5 linked regions of the Cricetulus griseus genome follow. The protein of the gene in region 5 purifies or fractionates together with the protein of the main gene of each other region. This does not show direct contact. Links are inferred from orthologs where the notes say so. Each region holds a gene or a part of one and is shown on either strand. Other genes may lie near its edges.

Region 1 (3,511 bases), about 69 Mb from region 5:
GATAGTAATGAGATCTCATATGTGTGTTTGCATATGTACTTTTTTTGGCTAACTGATGACATTAAATTTTGGGATGGGCTTTTTAGGGGACACATGTAAGAAAGAACTAACAGAGAGGATGGGTCTAGAGATGAAAATAATCCCATGGTATCTAAAGGCACTGATTTTGTTCCCCTCTGCCTACTCAATCCAAATAAATCATTTAAATTACGGTAAACACAGGGTTTGCTTATTGCACCAACTCCTTTTATTGTGAAAGAAGTCATTTCAGTAGAAGAGGCTGATGATGTCCAGTCAGAGGGCAGGAAAAGAGTGGTTTGTTTGAAAGTTTGTGGGTGCTACAGGCATGGATTCCTCACATTTTCTAAAATGCTAGGAAGAGTCCTTTAAGTGGCAGACTTGGGTCCAAGTTCCCAAAATAGGTTTCTATATAAACTTTTCAGGAACACATGTGCTGTGAAAAAGATGTTTGTAGCACGGGGACTCCAAACACAGCCTGAAGAATGTGTATTAAGGGCTGGATGTTCTTCCACACCAGGAAGGGGTGGCCAGAGCCACTGACAGCCAGGGCCACTGGTGGCCAGGGCCACTGGAGACCAGGGTAACTGACAGCCAGAGCCACTGATGACCACTGTGCACTTAGGTTGGGAGATTAAAAGAAAATAAAAAATTCAACCACTTGCATATGTTGCTAAAAAGTCAAAAGGAGTTTGATGATGAAAAAGACATGTTCCAGAAGCTGTGATTTGAGGTCAAATGGCTCAGCTCAATGTGAGACAGGGTGAGCCTCATTAAGAAGGGATCCAGACAAGGCAGCATGACCAGTTCAGATGACTGCCTCTTGAGAACTGGTGTAGTTGCTTCCCCAAAGGTTTTAATTAGAAAATTACTCCTTATGGATGCTTCATTTAGTTACATTGTAAGCATAGACTCTGGCCAGAAATGCAAAAAGAAGAGCAGTGAGAGCCAGGCCTGCAGCTACCCACAATGCACAGTCATGTTGGGACATCTGCAGCACAATTCTGGAGTATGCCGAGTCACGCAGAGTTGCAGCACAGGTGTCTGAAGGTGAAGTCAGATGATTTCCAAACCTATTTCTGAATTCCTATAAAGAGAGAAACAGGTAAGAAAAGTAATTTTCAGAAAAAAATTCCTGCAGTGATCCTTATTCTTTCAACCCAGCCACATTTGGATGCCCTGCAGGGTCCAGGTAGCCCCAAGCCTGGTATGGAAAAGTTGGCTTCTTTCTCTGAGGAGTAAAACAGTCTTGTTTTTTCAGACTACATAGAAGGCATTTTGTTCATCAAACACACCCTTGAGGGCAGACATTCCAAGGTGTTCTGCCATTGGAGGAAGGCTGAACCCATCTCCAGGTAGGCCTATAAAGGTCAGGGTGACCTGAGTGGCCCGATCCATAGAGTTCTCTCCATTTACTTTGGTGTGCCAGACACAGAAAGGCTGGGACAACTCAGTGTGAGCGGAGTACAAGGTGTGAGTCAACATGACTGTTCTCCATTCAGTAAGGCTTCTAGTCTGACATGGGGAAAGTGGAGGAAGGAACATTGCTACTCTCATGGGTTTTAATATTTCCCAGCACACATTGTCTCTATTGTATGAGATTTTTCACATTAGCAACCACCTTTGAAAACAATGTCACCATATAGCATGGACACCCTTGCTGGGACATGTAGATAAGAGAATCACAGAGGCTGGAGAAGGGGCACAACATGGCAGAGGGGTGCAACATGTGTCGTTGTAAGCACAGTTGTCCTTGAGCAACCATTGGATTCTCTTGTGCCTCCCTTCTGAGCACTTTGACAGTCCTGAGCCACTCTTGTCTACTGTGTGGAAGTGCTCCTCTCCACTGCAAACACTGGCTGGTGCCTGAGAGTGGAGAGAAGTAGAGGCACATTGGGCAATACTAAGACCTGAAGACAAGGGCTGAAGGGCAGAAAGAATTGAATGACATTTAACAAAATAGAGGAAATGAACTGAGTATAGGCACAGAAATATGGAATCTGGAGAGATGGCTCATCGGCTAAGAGTGCTTGCTGCTCTTGTAGAGAACCCAGGGTTCAGTCCTCAGTACCCACACTGGGCAGCTCACAACCACCTGTAACTCCAGAACCAGGAGATCTCATGTTCCCTTCTGAACTCAGAGATTACTGCACTCAAGTGCACAAACCCCACATAGATATACACACAATTTAAAATAGAGAAGAAATATAGAAAGGAAGGCAATGTTTATGACCCAATTTCCAACCTTGTATTTATACCTGATTCATGTGGAAGAACCCTTGGTTTCACTGTAGGAGACTGATGGGGATTTTAAGGTTGTTGCTAGCATGATGACTTTCTCAACTCCAACTACAGTCTTTGTTTGGGCCCATACTGCCTTGCTGGTCTCTATGCAAGGGGAGTCTTTATCAGGGAGCCACACCCTCCAGGAGACAGCTCTTCTTTGAGGCTGGCTCTTGTGGTGTTTGGTACAAGCTTCCACTTCAATTGACTGAAGGAGCTCTCAAGAATGGTACTCACAATGGATTTGTAGTTTTTAAATAATCATTAGAAGTTATTTGTATGAGACTGCTATCAAACCTGGAAGTCTATTGATATGTTCAGTACTTTTGGTAACTTCGGCATATGTCTATCAAGTAATGTTGCCTCCATGTGTCATGTGACTCAACTTACTTTCATTCCCATTCATAACTGTGCCTTTGGTAATTATGTTCAGAGTTATGTGTACTGGGGATGATGGGTTCTATTTTATATGAAACCATGGGAAGGAAAAGGTGGTTCTCAGTCTAATGAACATGGTTGGGGTTTTCTCAGAATGTTGGTTTCAACAAGACTGAAATGGCAGTGTCCTCACTTTTGCTCCTCTGGCCTGCTCTATGTTCAAACTCCCTGACCATGGTCAAACTATAGAAGGACCATACCAAGTTACAGTGCTCTCTGAGGATCAAAAGCTTTGTAACAAACCAACACCCCAGGACATATCTTCAGGAGAAAGTCGCTTACTGAGAAGCTGCCCTGGCCAAGTAAGAGTCACCTGATCTATAGGATGAACAAATGTGAATGGAGAAACACAAGTAAACATGGCCTCTCCAAATAAGAACAAGATGCAAGGAAAGTGAAATAGAAGAAAGACATGCCAGATGGAGAATTAAAAAAAAATAAATAAATGGTACCCCAAGGCCTTGCATAAAACTGGTAGAAAGATCGGAGCAGAAATAATGAAACACATATGAAGACAGTACAAACAGAAAGCCTAATGACCCAAGTTTGATCTCCAGGACTCCCATAGTAGGAGTGAAACTGATGTCTGAAAATTGTTCTCAGTTGAATTGTGTCATGGAGACCCACTAGATTTGAATCTGAAGGTCTGACCCCTTCACATGTTCCAGCAGTTCATAGATGAGGTGAGTGTTGGGATGGGCTACCTCATATTCCTGGTTCCTGGCCTGAATGGCTAGAACCTGTCAGCTTTCCTTCATTATCACCACCCAGG
Region 2 (3,511 bases), on a different chromosome or scaffold from region 5:
GCGCTCAAACACAGGCTTGATGGCCAAGGAGGCGTCCATACAACTGTGGGATAACACAGTCGTCACCCAGGGCAGAGGCCGGGGGCGAAGCCATCCTGTCCACACAGGCTTGCATCTCACCTGAAGTGCAGGATGGGGTTGGCAATGGTCGGGGTCCTGTCATCAAAGGGCTCGATGATAATGGTGAAGCCTGGGGAGGAGGAGGCCGGTGAGTGTGCACGACAGCCCCCGCCTGCCCCTGCCCCTGCCATGGCTAGCGCAGGACAGGACTGTACAAACGCTCAGGTGTGGAAGCAGGGTGAGCCAGGGCTTCACTGCACGGCCCCGCAGGGAGGCCAGGCCCGCCCTCCCCCAGGCCGGCCTCACTCCCACCTGTCCCCCCCTGCTCCCCACACTGCAGTCGGGGAGACGCTATGGAACCTTAAGTTGGCTGGTGTCTCCACACTCCTGCCATACCCAGAAGTGTGCCCATGAACTCTGCAGGGCCAGCCCTTGCTCCCAGCTACGGTATCAGCGTCATGTCCCAGGGCCCACTTGGTTGGTTGGGTCCTTGTTCCACAGGCACCCTGGGAGCCAGGACTCCTGCTCCTCACAGCACAGCCACACTTTCTAGTGTCCCCTTCTGGAGTGATCTTTGCTCCTAGCCCCCAGGCTGTGGCTCCCAGATGAGGGTAGGGATATGGACAGGAGGATGAGGGGGGCAACTAAGGCTGTGCTGGGCCCAGCCTGGCTGTGTGTGTTAGACTCCGGGCCCAGCCTGGCTGTGTTAGATCCCGCTGTCTCCACGGGGCCCAGCCTGGCCCATCTGTTGACTGAACAAATGATTACATTCACAGATTCTGTTTCACTTGGCAAGGAAAGACCAGGTCTTGTGTCCAGCATCATGCTGAGGACCCAGCAGAAACCAACAGAATCTCGGTCCTACCCAAAAGGGCTCTCCTTGCACGGGGGAGACAGCTAGCCAGAGACCCAGCTGGGACAGAGGGAGGGGCAGGCCCAGGATGGAATGGAGTGGGGGTGACTTTCTGAGAGGTAAAGGACTTGACTCGGGCAGGTGATGGGGCACAGGGAAGGAGGCTTTCTGTAAGACTGTGATGGATGCATCAGTAGGTGGGGGCCGGAGGGAGAACAATGAAGGCCAGGAGAAGAGGCTGGGTGAGGGCAGAAGGAAGCAGACAGCTGCCAGCAGCCCCTTCTTCCAAGGCTGGGCCAGCTGCAGGACGCCAGCTGACCTGGTTTCCTGGCTACGGTACTAATCCCCAGGGATAAGCTTAAAAACTCAGTGCAAAGCTGGGGCGGGCGGGGGCAACAAAAGCTGTAGCTTGTCCCCTCTCCCTGTGCATCACCTGCATCCCTCTCCCTCAAGGGCTTTTACATCTGGCCGCTTTCTCCCATAGCTCTCCCCAAGGCTCCCTTTTCCTGTCCCCACAGTCTATGGCTCCCCCTCTCTGTTGGATGAACCTTGAAAACAACAACCTCACCAAGTACATCCCTTGCCCAGACCCTGCCATGGCTCCCGGTGCCCTCAGGCACACATGAGGACTTCTCCCCCAGCCAAAGGTGGGCTGACCGCACAGCATCCCTCTGCTCAGTATCACAGCTCACTCGAGTTCTCCCCCTGCAGCCAGGAGGAGCCTCTAGACACACGAATCTGAACACGAGGCTCGCTCACTCGCTTGTTCCCCAGGGCCCTCATAGTAGCTCAAATCCCCTGTCTCACATGCCCAGACTTCCTGCTAATACCCCACCCGACTTAGCTAGGCCCCCAAGTCCGCTGCCAGGAGGAGCAAGAGGGGAGCTTACCCTTGGCGTAAGTGCTGACGAGAGTGGCGAAGTTAGCAAGGAGTGTGAGCGGGGAGAAGTCAGCCAGGTCAGCAATCTCCAAGGTGTGCAGGAGGGAGCGCAGGCGCTCAGCACAGAACCTGAGAAGCCATGGGGTCGGGAGAGGGAGGGAAGCAGCAATGGCTGGGACTCTCGCCACCTGTTTACCTGGGCATCGTCTGTGGCCAAGCTGTCCCCACACTGCAAACATCCACAGCTACCGCACAGCACTAGCACACGCACACGGCGCCCAGGTTTGCCGCTTGTATGCAAATTCTTGTCAAACAAGACCCATGGCCATCAGTCACTGTGCTGTGCAGCCAGTGTCGTGGGCCCCACGCTCAGAAAGAACAGCCACACACTTTCCCAGGCTCGCATATGCACACGCATAGGGCTGCAGAAGTACCAGGTAGTCCTGCAGCGGTCACAGCCAAGAGCTGACCTCACAGTGACACGGCTCGCTCCACATCCGACTCTGACCTGACCCCTGACCCCGTCACCAGCCACAGGTCTGGACCTGAGGTCCCCATGGCAGCATGCGCACCTGAGGGGCTTGCGTTGGATGCACACGCGCTGAGCCAGGCCGCTCAGGAAGGCAGGAGGGCTCTCCTGTACCACATGCTGCACGCGCAGCCGCCACTTGACGTACTCCAGCAGCCGCCGCAGGAAGCCCAGGAAGTGCTCGGCAGTGCGGATGGAGCCTGGCACGGCCTCTGCAGGGAGACTGAGTCAGCTGGCACGGGAAGGAAGGCGTGTGAGGGTGGGGGGTGGGGCACGGCTCACCCTGCAGCACCTCGTCCGGCAGCACAGGGTTCGCCAGGTGCGCGTCTGTCTCCCGCGCCGCGCTGGCCTCCCGCAGCCCCTCCACCAGGCGCCGGTACTCGTCCCGCAGCCGCTGCTCGTCTGTCTCCTTGATCCTGGCGGGGACATGGGACAGAGCTGGAATGGGGCAGGTGTCCAGGGCCACGGAGGCAGGCGGCACACAGGGAGCAGAGTGGGCACCTGAGCACCGTCTTCTGCAAGGTGTCCAAGTTGCTCTGGCAGCGGTCCAGAGTCCTGCGGGTGAGGTTTACACTCATGGAGTCGATGCAGACATTGTCTAGGAGGAAAGCAGACAGACATGGGCTCAGCCGGCTTGGGGGCGGGGCAGAGAGGCCGCCGCTGTCTGCACACCCTGGCACCCTCCTCACCAATGTTGTGGGCTTCATCGAAGACCACGACGGCCTTGCGGGCCAGCTCTTTGGACACCAGGTCTGCGATCTTGGGGTCCAGGAGATAGTGGTAGCTGTAAACCACCACGTTGGCATGCAGGATCTAGGAACATGGAGGGATAAGTTTTTGCCTTGGGCCCTGCTGCCCCCGCCATACCACTCCTTCCCAGGTGTACAGACGTAACACCAAGACAGACAGCAGGTGGATGGAAAAGACAGATGGGACCACCCAGGCAAGGCATAAACAGAGGCTGGAGACAGGAAGACCTAGGTACCAGGTCAACAAAGATGCAAGCAGACAGATGGGCTAACGGAGGGGTGGGCAAAAGTGGCTCATGCCTATAACCCCCATAGCTGGGAACCTGCGTAAGGTTCTTCTAAGTTTGAGGCCAGCCTGGGTTATAAGTGAGACCCTGCCCCAGAAGAAAACAAAACAACTCTTCACCGAGTATCGAGCCAGGAAGTAGGGGCACCAGCCC
Region 3 (4,271 bases), on a different chromosome or scaffold from region 5:
AACACATTAAACTATTATACAGAAATATTTAACATAATCTGTAACAACTTAATAATTCGCTCTAAGTAAATTACTCAAAGCACAGAAAAACTGATTTGATGATCCTAAAGAAATCATTTTGTGAATATACTGTGTTTTACAAGTTCAATACTGGGAATAAAATTGAAATCTTTATGGTTTCTGGACATTCTCAGTCAATATCAAGAATACAGTGAAATAACATACTTTGTAGTTTTTAGCTTTAACCAAAAACTAGTTCTCATTTTGCAGTTTTACTGCAGGTTATTTGGATCAGATAACCTTGATCTATACAACTAAAAGAAAGATGACAATGGCAAACCTGGAAATGACAAACTAACCAAAACAACTCTTAGTTCTTTAAGGCTAGTCTGCCATCAAAAAAGTTATTTTCCCACTTCTGCTCACAAAGGACACCCAGAGAACCTTCCACTGGTCATTGGTAACTAGAAAAAATGATGGAAATTACTGTGCAGTTCTTTTTTCGTCATTAAATTGCTTTGGTCATAGTTAAGAAAACTGAAACTTTTAGTATTCTTGAGGAATATAAGCAATAATCTCATTAACTACATGCAATTAATTCAGAATTAATGACTTCTATACAATGCTGGGAACAAATCAGAGTCAATTTGAAATAAAACTATACCAAATTAAACATGCTTTATTAAACTGGCTATGCAAGAGGGAACATTTAACTACTGAGAAGAATCTTATTTGACTCATTTTATTTAAGTCAACTGCATTTCCAAAATTTGCTCAAATGTTCTCAAACACCAAAAAGAGACACAAAAATAATGGCTGTGCCCAGTGGGGTGACAAATGCCTGTAATTCTTGAACCTGGAAGGTGGAAGCAGGAAGCTCAGAAGTTCAAGGCCAGTCTGTGCAATGTAGTGAATTCTCAAGGCCAGCCTGGACTAGGGGAGAAAACTGTGTCAAAAAAAGTAGGAAAACAAAAGAATATTGTTTTTAAAGAGACTGAGTAGTACATTATAAATTTTGATAATCTGGATTGGTCATAATCCTTTGGCAACCTGAAACATCTTAAATACCAGAAAGCTCATATGGAAGTGTACAAACTGACAACATTTCCCATTATCACCAGAGAGTCTCTCGACTCCCTCTCGACAAAATCAGAGTAAAGCCTTGGATTTAATCAGTCCTCATTAAATTCCCCTTTTGCTTTTTAAGAAAAGTGGGGGAAAAGTTTTTCCTTGCCTGAAATTAAAGCATAGTGTGAGAAAAAAAAATCCAAAAAGTGGAGATTATAAAAACAAAACCACTAACTGAAAAATGCAAGATTATACTCTTCTGCTCAAGGGTTAACCAGTCGTTAAGTTTCTCCTAGATAAAAGAGATAATCACCCTCGTTGTACCCCACTCTCACCTGAGAGCTCAAAATTACACTTGATATCTGGGTTCCATGCTCAGACATCCAATATGAATGGGGTCGGATTTTAAAGAGCAACGAAGTGGAGAACCATGATCTAAACAGTGTGTTTAAAGGTACACCTGACTCGGACTGGGTTTGTTTGTTGTTTTGTTTTTTCTTTTCCCAAAATGGAGATAGAGAAAGGGTTGTCGGACAGTAATGCTAAGATCTGAAACTTCAAATTGCCGGTCTTCCTGTGACCTACCAATGAAGACACTGGGTTCTCTGGGTTGTAGGCCAACTCTTACTTGCTGTTAATATGGTGCTAATTCTGTGTAATTTCTGAAAATTCAACTTATGTCTGTGTTTAAGTAATAATTACTTAACAGCTATTTATTTGGTTCATTCTTACCAAACACAGGACGTGCCCAGAGTTTACACATATTTGACCTTCCAAACATAAACTGACAAATGGGAATTTTAAGAAACATTAGAAAAAGACCTTCAACTCATTTCCATAAAAGTAATTCAATTTAGGCGACATCAATTAAAAGTCCAAAACGAGTTTCACAGCAAACCAACTTTCCCTAAGGCCAACAGAGGAACAGCTAGCTGTCTTAAACCAAAATCAACAAGGACTAAATATTCGGGAAAAATAAAAGCTGGAAGGAAAAAAGGTAAACAGAAATGTAGCGTGCAGGTCTTCCCCGGCCCCTGCGTGCGGAACCAAACCAGTGCGACACTGGCAGGGAAAATAAACCCGCTCCGGTGGCTTCAAGACGCTGCCCATGGAGCCGGGAAGCAAGTCACAGGTCCAGGCGGGGGACGCAATGTTTGCAAAGCGACTCAAAGAGCCCGAAGGGGCCGGGCGGGCAGTCCCGCGGTGGCGAGCAACCGCAGAAGCGGCCTGCGGACGCGGACCGGGAGCTCCCGCGGGCGACCGACCCGGGTCTCTCCAACCCTGAAGGGACAGCGGCTGCGGCTCCGGGAGCGCCCCTCACCCCCGCACAGGCCAGACCCGCGAGCAGGACGCTGGGCAGGCGCCGCGCGCCCCGAAGGCACGTCCCAGGCCGCGGCCGGCGCGGGCTTCCCAGGGACCGGGCGGGAAGGTGCGGGAGGCGCGCGGCTGACGGGGCGCAGGCGGCTGATCGTACGGCCCCAACCCGGGGGCGGCGGGAGGCGCGCAGGCCAGGCCGCCCGGAACCCGCCCGCTCCTCCGCGCCGCCCTCCGCCCCGCGCTCCGTTACCTTGTCGCAGTAGCGCCCCACCAGCTGCTTCATCCGCCAGTGTGGGGCGGTGAAGACGTCCACTTCATCGGGGAAGGGAGCCATCGCCACAGCTTCAGCGTCCGCCTCAGCAGCCGCAGCCGCCGCCTCTCCATAGACACCCTCGCCGCGGGGCAGAGGCGGCGCGCCCCCCTGCGCATGCGCCCGCCCCGTCGGCGCGCGCGCCCGGGCCGCTCCGCGGCCGCTCCGCGGGAGCGCGCGGGCCGCCGCCATGCGATGCCGCAGCCCACGTGACCAGCGCGCGCCGAGGCGTACGGATTCCACCTCCCGTCTGCGTGCACGTTCCCCCCCTCTGCTGTGCAGAGACCTGACCGTGTCTTCTCCTAAAAGCGCAGTGTCTGAGGGCGGGGGTCTTCAAGGGTGCTCCTCCGTGACTTGAGGCGGGGCAGTTGACCTGCGTGGTCGGGTCGAGCCTAAGCTCTACGATCGGGGTGACTGTGAGCGCTCCGAGCGCCCAGCCGCCCTCGCTGCCTCGGGGTTTGCTAGGCCGGGGCTGCCGGCTCTGGGCCTCGCTAGCCGGGCCTCCGCGCTGTGGCTGAGGTCAGGAGACATGGCAGCCCCTTGTCTCGCCCCTGCGTGGAGCGTTGGTGTGAGGGTGGGAGGTTGGCCATGGGGAACTGGAGATGCCAGAAGGAGGACAGACACCCAGTACGGGAACAGCAACCCCAGAGCGGCCAGATGAGCCTGGTGGGGGAAGGGCGAGCCATCATGGCGGTCTAATAGGCAAACAGCCTTAGCACAAATCCCGCCATTTTAAACCGAAGGCGCTCAGACAAGAAGAAAGGGCCTTAAACGAGGTCACTGCCCAGAGAAAGGCCAGTAGGTCTCGCCCCTACACTTCACCTTTCCTCATCTAAGCCCTCCAGTATGCTTTTCCGACTTAATGGAAGCAGCTCTCATCTGTGGCTTTAGGACTGATAGAGAAATAGAGGAAACAAGGGCAAGGCTGAGAACCTGTGAATGATGTGCTAATTGCCACAAACTTCTGGACAGTAAACAGAAGATATGCGATATTCACCTTCCTACCCCCTACCACAAATTCATGACAACAGGTAAAAGGAATCAAATGTTCAAAAATGGGGTAGAAGGAGATAAGAAAGAACTCTAGAGCGAATCTGTGTAGTTCTAATCTTACCATTTGATATTAACATGCAAGATGAGCAGGAAAACAAGACTCCGGAGATGAAAATTAGGTTGTTTCACAAAACCCTAGTTGTATTTAACCTAGGAAAGCTACAGGACTTCTGTGCCCGACCTAAGTATATTATCTTCTGTAAAACGGGGGGCGGGAGGGAGTATCTTTATAAGATTTTAAGAGCTAAATTTATATATTTGAAGTGCTTATAGGAGTACCAGGCTCATAACAATGTCTGTAAACAGCGTTAGGAAATTAAGACTGTTGTTCTGCTGGAAGCTCCTCCTTAATCCCCCTCCCCCATCTCTCTCTCCCTAAACCCTGCTTCATTCCAGAAAGCCCATCAGCAGCTCCCCTCTGGAGATGCCAGGGACCGTCCTAACGGCTATTTAAGTCCCGGACTATTGATCTGCCACGTGTGCCTTCATGTTCTGTCTGTCCCCTGCCTTCCTGAGGCCCACT
Region 4 (4,182 bases), about 160 Mb from region 5:
TACGAAGTGACATGTTGTCTGGCCAGGGTAATAAGGAAATACCGGAAGACCAGTACTTGAACTGGGCCTTGAGTATAAGGTCTAATTTGGATTAGATATAGCTAGTAGAGGGAACTGGAAGGAAAACACTCAGGAAATGGAAAATGAAGGCTGGTGCCCAGAACTAAGGGTCCAAGAGGTCAATGTTGAGAATAAAGGCTGGGACCAAGTACTGGCTATCTTTGAATGCCTGTTTGAGAGGCCTTAATTCCTGGGTTCCCAAGTCATTTCCTTTCTAGTACTTGGATGTTCATGGGAGCTGACAACTATTTCCATCAGAAACTACCAGGTGCAAAACAAAGTTGCAGTTCCTTTGTGTTCACAGGTCATTCCTTCTTCATTTGTAACTTGTAGAAGAGCTGTGGCTTCCAAGGCTGATGTGTTCAGTAGGAACACAGACTGACTTAGGCTGGAGGAAGTACATCATACTCTGGGAATAGTCCAAAACTGTCAACTTCCATAACCTAACAACTATGATCTGAGACTGGGAATACTAAATTAACCCTTCCTAAATTTCCTTTCATTTTAAGGCTCTTGCTCAAAGAGCTAAACTCCTATTGCCCACACACCAGGTCATTCAGATCCAAGGTTCTGAGATATATATATATTTCAGCTCCATCAAACCTTTCAGCCTTGTCCGTTACTGTGCCTCTGCACCAACCTTCTGTATGTTAAGATGAGTACTTTACAACAGGGTTCACTTACACACATGCTACAGAGTTCATTTTAAACCATATGAAAGTTTAGGCTTTTAAAAAAAGACATAAAAACAAAAAATACATTTTACAAAGATATAAAAATGTACAAATGCGGAAAAACAGTTACAGGTTAACATTAACATAGTAATATTGTCTATCTTGGAATGAGGTGGTATTAAGTACCTCTGTGAAAAACAATGTTCCCAATATAATTCATTGGATATGTTTTACCTCCAAATAAACCATAAACAAACATTAGTCAATGATAGAATGCCGAAGTACTTAGAGATAAATGTACTGACCTCTGCAGTTTAAATGGGTATGTGATAATTCAAAGTACAGAAAAAAAAATGTTAATGATCGGCTCTAAGTAGTGTTGGATGTGTAATCCCTATAAAATTCTTTAAGCTGGGCAATGGTGTTGCATGTCTTTAATCCCAGTACTCAGGATGGCAGGGGCATCTGGATCTCTGAGTTCAAGGCCAGCCTGGTCTACACAGTGAGTTCCAGGACAGCACAAAGAAACTTCATGTCAAACAAACAAACAAACAACAATAATAAATAAAAATTCTTTAGATTTTGTTAAACGATAGAAAATTTCCATAGTAAAATACTGAGGGAAATGGCATTAATAATACCCCATAACAGACTATACTTGATAAAGTTGTAAAATATTATAAGCAGGCTTTTTTTTTTTTTTTTGATATGATCTCACACTGTAGTGGAGGCTGGCCTAGAACTCACTATCAAACTTGCCATCCTCTTGCCAAATCCTGAAACTAAAGGCATAAACCACCAAGTACAGCCAATCGCAGACATTTTTGCCCCTTAATACTTACGAACCACCATGTACTTGCTTCTAACCACACAACTGTCTGTCTCTCACTACATTATAATCTCTTTGTGCCCACAGCATTTAATTTGTATTTTTGTTCCCAATCTTTTCATGCTGGGTGAAAAATACGTGCTCAGTAATAATAGAATCGCAGAACGAAAGGGGAATATTGCTAAGGACCAGCATATATTTCTAGCAGAAGTTCATTTCTCGTATATTATGTTCAATCTGCAGAAGAAACTTCTGCTCCCAAACATATAAAACACCCCAAAATAATTTAAGAAAACCCGCATCTATACCCATTTTGTATTTTATTTCTTAAACCTGACTCTGAATGTTAGGCATCCTAACATTCAACATTTGGAAAGAATTCCAAGGAGGTCTCCTGGAATTTAATTTACTCAAATCCTGGATAAACTCAGAACTGAGAGATTCCAGAAACTGGAACTCTGGGAAGATAACAAATGGGCTATTTTAAGAAACCGTGAAGCTAACTTGTCAAAAACCCCACTAAGTCAGTAAGTGAAGCCTGAATAGCAACACTAGTCACCTACAAGCCTATCGACCGGGACCCAGACTAGCTCCTCCCCTCCTCCCTCTAATTAACCACGCTCAAGAGAGCTGTGGCGCATGCTACCTCCGGGATGGCAAGAGACCGGGGCGTAACCCTTCGAAGCCGCACCTCCACGCGTTAACACTCCACAAACGCGGCCCCCGAGTGCGAGCACCTGGTTTGGAGCAGAACACGCGAGTCCAAGTCCCAGCTCCACTTCCGGGCTGGTCCGCGCCCTTACACAGTCTCCTGCTCTCGCTGGGCCTGGGGGTGGCCGGAGAAATGCAACGATTCTCTACCGACTACAGTGAGAGGCGGGATGTAAAGGGAGGTTTAAGGAAGGTGCAAGCGACTCTCCAACTTGTTAGGGCGGCAGCGCTCGCCGTGCGGGCCGAGCGAGCAAAGGACCAATCACAATCAACCTCCTCTCCCTTCACTCCCTTCCCGCCGCGCGCCGGGGCTGAGGCCGCTCCCTTAGGTCCGGCCCTTGCAGAAACCTCACGGCTCTGCTTGCCCTACCTGCAGCCACCTGGTCAGCGGGCCCCTCCTGCTGGCCCATGACGAAGTCTTGCACGAGGCCGCACAGGGCGTCCAGAGGCGCCGCCGCCTCCTCGAGAGCGGTGGCGGCAGCCATGACGCGAGCCGGAGACTGTGGGAGGGGAGGTAGGTGGTGCCCGGAGAGGAGCCTCTCTGCGCACGCGCCTCCGCAGCCAATAGTGGGGCGCAGGCCTCGGGGGCGGGACGCTCCGGGGTCACGTGCCTGCCGGCTCTGGGCCTGGCGGTTCCTGGAGGGACCTGACGGCCCCTCCCCCAGAGGGCGGGGCCGGGGCCGGGGCGCGGCACGAGGAGGGGAAGCGGCCCCCTGGCACGCAGCCGGGGCGGTTGAGGGGCGCATAATTCCCGGTCTCTCTCTCCCCGGGAGACGGACGGCAGGGCGGGCACCTGGCTGGGTGGGGCCGAGGGGCGGTACGCACCCAGGGGGAAGCCAATGAGAAAACCAGGCCCGGCCCGAGGGGCGGTGCCGTCGGTCACATGCGCACCTGGGACGGCTGGCGGCGGTGGCACGGGCACCCCGAACGGGAGGAAGGGAACGGGGCCGGGCTGGGGCGGGGTTAGGCAGGTGACTGACAGGCTCCGGGGGGCCGGCCCCAGCTGGGAGCCGCGAGCGATCCAGGAGTAGCTGCGGCGGTGTCCGCCCCCTCCCTCCGCCCCTCCAGCCGGCTGGTCTCTGGCCGGGCACTGTCGCGGGCCCCCCTGGCCTGGCCACCTCCCTCTCCCCTGGCCCGCAAAGTTTGTGGCGAAGCCGACGTCGGGCAGAGCGCACCCCAGGGGAGATCCAGGATCTCCCGATGTCGGGCTGCGAGAGCCGTTGACCCGGGGACGCCGCGGTTCCGGGCAGCAGCGTGGAGCAGCCGGCCGGCCCGCCGTCTCCGGTGCATGGGGACCGGCTGAGAAGCCAGCATGGGCAACTGCGTGGGGAGACAGCGCCGGGAGAGGCCGGCTGCTCCGGGACACCCCCGCAAGCGAGCAGGTAACGCCAGGAAAGGCAGCGGGGTCCCGGCGCGCCGCCAGTTGGCCCCTGCCTTGCCCGAACGCTGGGGTTCTCGAGCGACCTCGCACAGCGCCTAGGTTCCCCCTTGGTTTTTCGGAGCCAGACGGGGCCCTCCCCGGCGAGGGTTGGCTGGGAAGCGAGTTGGGGTAACTGCGAGCGCTGACCCGGCTGCGAGGCCAACTCGCTCCCACCGGGAAGCTGGGGGTGGGGGCGGGAGCAGGAAATGTTTCCAGACCGCGACGAGGCCGGCGGAGGGGGCCGGACGAGTGCGCCGCTGGTCTGGCAGCCCCGGCCGGGGTCGGACAGCGGCCGGCCGGGGCGCGGCGTGGGCAGCCTGCGTCCCCCGAAGTCGGAGTCGCTCCTTCCAGAGAGTCACAGTGTTATTATCAGGCTGCAGATCGTGTCTGCGAGAATCCGACTTGCAAAAGCAGTGCAGGGCCATGGGATCGAAATCTTTATTCCTCCCCACCCCTCCGCGGGGCTTTTTAGAGCCTCCTGGACGTCT
Region 5 (4,178 bases):
GTCTTAAAACAGCAACAGAAAGCCGGGCATTGGTGGTGCACGCCTTTAATCCCAGCACTCAGGAGGCAGAGACAGGAGGATCTCTGTGAGTTCGAGACCAGCCTGGTCTACAAGAGCTAGTTCCAGGGCAGCCTCCAAAGCCACAGAGAAACCCTGTCTCGAAAAAACAAAAAACAAACAAACAAAAAAAAAAACCCACAAAAAACCCAGCAACAGAAAAGAAACTAAGACAGCAGACTTATATCAATTTAGGACATAGTTCTTTATGTCTCTGTAGGTTCCTCTAGAAATAGTTCTGTAAACACACACAAATAAGGCCAGTGTCACAACAGGTCAACTGAAACTACTGAATCCATTGGTGGTTTGGCTATCCAGGTATTTATATATTTCTTTAAAGATTTTTTTTTTTTTCATTTGCAACTTTTGCTAACTGAAGCACTAGAAGAGCTAAAAAAAAAAAAAAAGATTTATTTTCATTTTTTGAGTCAGGGCCTCTCTATATAGCTTTAGTTAAAACTCTCTGTGTAGACTAGGCTGGCCTCAAAAATCAGATTATCTGCTTGCCTCAGTCTCCTGAGTTCTGGGACTAAAAGGTGCACCACCACACTCAGCTTACTGATTTATTTTATGTGTATGAGTATTTGTCTGAATGTAGGTATGTGTACCACATGTGTGCCTTGTGCTTATAGAGGTCAGAATAGGACATTGGATCCTCTGGAAATGAAGTTACAGATGGTTGTGGGCCTCCATGTAGGTGCTGAGAACCTAACCCAGGTCCTCTGCAAGAGCAGTGTTTTTAACTGCTGAGCCATCTTTGCAGTCCCACTGGGAGAAATCAAAAAATGATGGGGCACCTCATGGACACATCCTTCATAGGCACCACTCTCCCCTCCACAACCCCTAATGACTCCATCATGGAAGATGCTAAGGCATGCTGGGAAATGAATATAAATTAAGGGTTTATTACAAAATGAAAAATGTTAGTTTCTCCTTGTCAGTGATTCAAGAAAACAAAGCCACAAGCCCTTGGTGGAGCTGAGGCCAGGACACCTGTGTGCAGGCTGGTGGTCAAAAGCCAGGCTCATGATCGGGCTGACAGACACTGATTAACGACCTCTAGCAGGTGGGTATTCTCCAGAGCAGCTGCCACTCGTTCCTTATCTGCAAGCTGTTTGTTCACTAGGTAGGAAAGAGGGTTATAAAAAGAGGGTTAAAGCAACTTTAGCCAGGCTGCTAGCCTCAGGACAGATTATATCTCTACCAATAAAGGTCTCCTATCACCTTCCCAGGACTCCTTATCAACTGTGCCCATACTCTCTTATTTTTCAGGAATACTACATACCTCCAGGGAGTACTTAGCCTGCCTCCACTATTCCAGAAACCTGATACAATGTCCTTGGGGAATATGGGAGAGAAACTCATGGGAAGGAGGAGACTTAGGTCAGGCCAGTTTGATCTAGGCTGTAGTCTGGTAATTCTTTAGTCACCTAGACACCCACCCCCCTTAGTCCTAACCTTCCTTATAAACTATTGTGGCAAAGGGGAAGTCTCAACAGTTTGGGGCCCAAGGGGAGAGGGGGATCAACTTCCCCGCCAGCTCACACTAACCTGCATGTTCCGAGGCATGGGTCCCGGGTGTAATGTGCACATCCATCTGGAAGAAAGACAACCTGGGCCTGAGCACTTATTCATCCTTTTTTGGTCCCTTCCCTCCAGAAACCACCTCCATTCCACCCATCTTTCTAATCGTGCCTCTCGATTCTGGCACTTCCGTCCCACCCCAAGTCCACCTGCAGTCAACCTACCCAAGGGCCTTGTCAGCTGCTACTGATTTAAAGGTCTGCCAGTGCCTCCATCAAGCCCATCTACAGCTGCCCTTTCTACCACATTCCTCACTATTTTCTGGAGTATTTCCAGTATTCTTGTCAAATCAGCTTGACGTTTCCTCGCAGTTCGTCTCTGCGAGTTGGGATCCTTCCAGTCTCCACTCTGATGTCCCCTCTCCTCAGTAGTTGTTTCATTCACCCTTAGGCTGGACTCCAACTGACCTTGAAACGCTGGGGAAGGGATCGAAGAAGCTTGACTTTGATAGAAAGGCCTATAAGTGTGGCCATGCTGCAGTGTGGAATGGTGGGTGTGAAAGCCACGGCCACCGTGCTCTCAGGGTCGCTAACCTGTGTTGACAAGGAGATTATAAAGATTACACGACCGCCCCTAGCACCGAAATCCTCTCTTTACTAAAATTTGGGCAAGTTACCTAAACTGGAAAAAACAACCTCCCGCCCAAAGATCCTCTTAGGTGCTTGTGAATGGAGAACGCCAGCCTCTTAACATATAATGGGACCTTTTAAACTACTTTGGATAAGCTATCACATTCTGACACTCACCTGAATCCGAACTTGTTCTACTACATTTAATTCCTCTAGCGTCAGTGGATGCTCCGGGTCATTAATGGAGCGAATAAGATGTGCCAAGTGAAGGAAAAGGAACTCTAAGTTTTGGCCCACTCAAAACCTCCGCAGGCATGCCTAACCGGGACACCCCTCCACCACCGTGTTGCACATCACTTCTTCCCGGTACCCTAGACCCCCACCGTCCGCCAGCTCCCAGCAGTGGTGGATATCGAAGATCTCGCGGGCGTCGATGCTGTCGGGCACCTGTTCGTCCTCCTCGCCCGCCGTCACTGGCCGCTCCCCCGAGCGCTCATAGATGAGGGGGTTGGCGTTCTCTAGAAGCCCGACCCGGCCACCGCCTTCACCGCCGCCCACCATCCCGGAACTGCGGTTCCCACAACCCCCGGGTGGTGTGTACTTCCGCTGCTACGGCGCACTTCCTGGGAATGAGTAGAGGGCGTGGTGTGACTACGGGGTCGCGCAAGGGACATGCCAGTCTCCCGGGATTCGGCGGGTAGTTTGCAAGATCAGTGTATTTGTTGTGCCTGCTACTCTGCGGAAGCCGGAAAAATGTTGGTAGTTCTAGCCCGGGCATCAGAAGAGACTCCCGCGGCTCTTGGCCGTGCGATCCTGCCAGGAGCTGGAGCGCAGAAGCTAAAACCATTTGACTAGGGCCTCTTGAGATTGAACCTCTACCACCCCCTTCAGGAGGCTAGGCCGAAAGGGCATTCGGATGCTCAAGTTCGCTCTCTGGCTATCTCGGAACCATAGATCCACAAAAGACACGCCGGTTTCCCCGAGCAGGGATCAGCAGGCACTAATTACATGCTTTTTATGTAGACAAGCGATTATGAACTTGAATTCCACTGGGGAAGAAAAGCCTATAAGGGAGAGGCGTCATTGAAAAACGTCATATTCACGTATGAGTTGGGGAGGGCCGACGTAGCCTTTCAGTCCAGGAAATAAAATAGATAAGATGGTGTATACTTGAAGGCGGACCTCGTAAACTATGAGTCCCGAAAGCAAAAATGATTTTTTTCGAATGAAGGCAGCCAGACCCCCTTTCCCCCGCCACTCCCTGTGTGTGTGAGTACAGTTCTCATCCGGATCCAATCGCCTGAAGGTCCGCCCTGCCCTATTCTCCATCTGGGGCCAAGAACCACGTAGACCTTTCTGAACTCTCCTTTCCAACCAAAACTCCACAATGGGAATGTGATTACAGGGGAGGTTAACACAGTGACTCAAGACTTAAGACAAAGGTTCCTGGTGTCTCAAAGGGGTTCCGTTGCTCCTTGGAGGAGGCTACCCCCTGCTTGTTGGTCAGAAGTGCACTGCAGTCTGTGACCTTAGCCTATTCAGAAACTCTACTGCAGGCACAACAACCATGCCAGGCACACACCCCCTGTGCCCAGCCTACCAGCGCCCAGGTCAAACTTCTGGAGGAGGCCTTGATACACACTGTTGCCTGTCTGTGAGACACAGCATGCCTAATGGCAGCACAGACAAAAACCAAGACACTGAATTAATTGTGGCTAGACAGACTTTCTGGCTGTTTAAATGCTATGGTGTGTGGGCCCTTGATTCTCTTCTTCCCAGTGCAGAAGACCCTTGCAGAGGACAGGGACTTGAATAAGAATTACACAATTACGTAGAGTCAGAGGCCGAGACTGAGAGTGAGGGTGCACCATTGAGAGAAGCTAGTGAAGGGCTAATGACTGGGAGTAGTGTACCCACCCAGTGAACTGCCAAAAGCATTTAGGGACCCAGGGTCTCTTGTAGCATTAG

What was found.
Region 1: the proteins of Ciao2b (region 5) and Cdkal1 purify together in Homo sapiens (affinity purification with mass spectrometry; 3 studies listed by BioGRID and IntAct, with this or other methods). This does not show direct contact. The link is inferred for Cricetulus griseus from reciprocal best matches to the Homo sapiens genes CIAO2B and CDKAL1.
Region 2: the proteins of Ciao2b (region 5) and Ercc2 purify together in Homo sapiens (affinity purification with western blotting; 3 studies listed by BioGRID and IntAct, with this or other methods). This does not show direct contact. The link is inferred for Cricetulus griseus from reciprocal best matches to the Homo sapiens genes CIAO2B and ERCC2.
Region 3: the proteins of Ciao2b (region 5) and Fbxl5 purify together in Homo sapiens (affinity purification with mass spectrometry; 3 studies listed by BioGRID and IntAct, counting the BioPlex papers as one, with this or other methods). This does not show direct contact. The link is inferred for Cricetulus griseus from reciprocal best matches to the Homo sapiens genes CIAO2B and FBXL5.
Region 4: the proteins of Ciao2b (region 5) and Mms19 purify together in Homo sapiens (affinity purification with western blotting; 11 studies listed by BioGRID and IntAct, counting the BioPlex papers as one, with this or other methods). This does not show direct contact. The link is inferred for Cricetulus griseus from reciprocal best matches to the Homo sapiens genes CIAO2B and MMS19.

Annotation. Positions count from the first base shown.
Region 1 is NC_048596.1:250,007,858-250,011,368, forward strand, and holds the end of Cdkal1 (threonylcarbamoyladenosine tRNA methylthiotransferase), read right to left. Parts: intron 1,106-3,511; coding exon 905-1,105; 3' UTR 225-904; downstream 1-224. UniProt on the Homo sapiens protein: Catalyzes the methylthiolation of N6-threonylcarbamoyladenosine (t(6)A), leading to the formation of 2-methylthio-N6-threonylcarbamoyladenosine (ms(2)t(6)A) at position 37 in tRNAs that read codons beginning with adenine.
Region 2 is NC_048602.1:27,967,162-27,970,672, forward strand, and holds part of Ercc2 (general transcription and DNA repair factor IIH helicase subunit XPD), read right to left. Parts: coding exon 3,478-3,511; intron 3,136-3,477; coding exon 3,012-3,135; intron 2,921-3,011; coding exon 2,824-2,920; intron 2,739-2,823; coding exon 2,605-2,738; intron 2,535-2,604; coding exon 2,366-2,534; intron 1,923-2,365; coding exon 1,804-1,922; intron 191-1,803; coding exon 121-190; intron 44-120; coding exon 1-43. UniProt on the Homo sapiens protein: ATP-dependent 5'-3' DNA helicase. Component of the general transcription and DNA repair factor IIH (TFIIH) core complex, not absolutely essential for minimal transcription in vitro.
Region 3 is NW_023276807.1:112,389,081-112,393,351, forward strand, and holds the start of Fbxl5 (F-box/LRR-repeat protein 5), read right to left. Parts: upstream 2,808-4,271; 5' UTR 2,720-2,807; coding exon 2,636-2,719; intron 1-2,635.
Region 4 is NC_048596.1:19,568,838-19,573,019, reverse strand, and holds the start of Mms19 (MMS19 nucleotide excision repair protein homolog), read right to left. Parts: upstream 2,803-4,182; 5' UTR 2,760-2,802; coding exon 2,645-2,759; intron 2,428-2,644; exon of another isoform or gene 2,301-2,427; intron 1-2,300. Other genes in the region: Ubtd1 (ubiquitin domain-containing protein 1), read left to right, coding at 3,587-3,656. UniProt on the Homo sapiens protein: Key component of the cytosolic iron-sulfur protein assembly (CIA) complex, a multiprotein complex that mediates the incorporation of iron-sulfur cluster into apoproteins specifically involved in DNA metabolism and genomic integrity.
Region 5 is NC_048596.1:180,906,689-180,910,866, forward strand, and holds Ciao2b (cytosolic iron-sulfur assembly component 2B), read right to left. Parts: upstream 2,811-4,178; 5' UTR 2,772-2,810; coding exon 2,624-2,771; intron 2,468-2,623; coding exon 2,388-2,467; intron 2,175-2,387; coding exon 2,049-2,174; intron 1,655-2,048; coding exon 1,609-1,654; intron 1,180-1,608; coding exon 1,082-1,179; 3' UTR 244-1,081; downstream 1-243.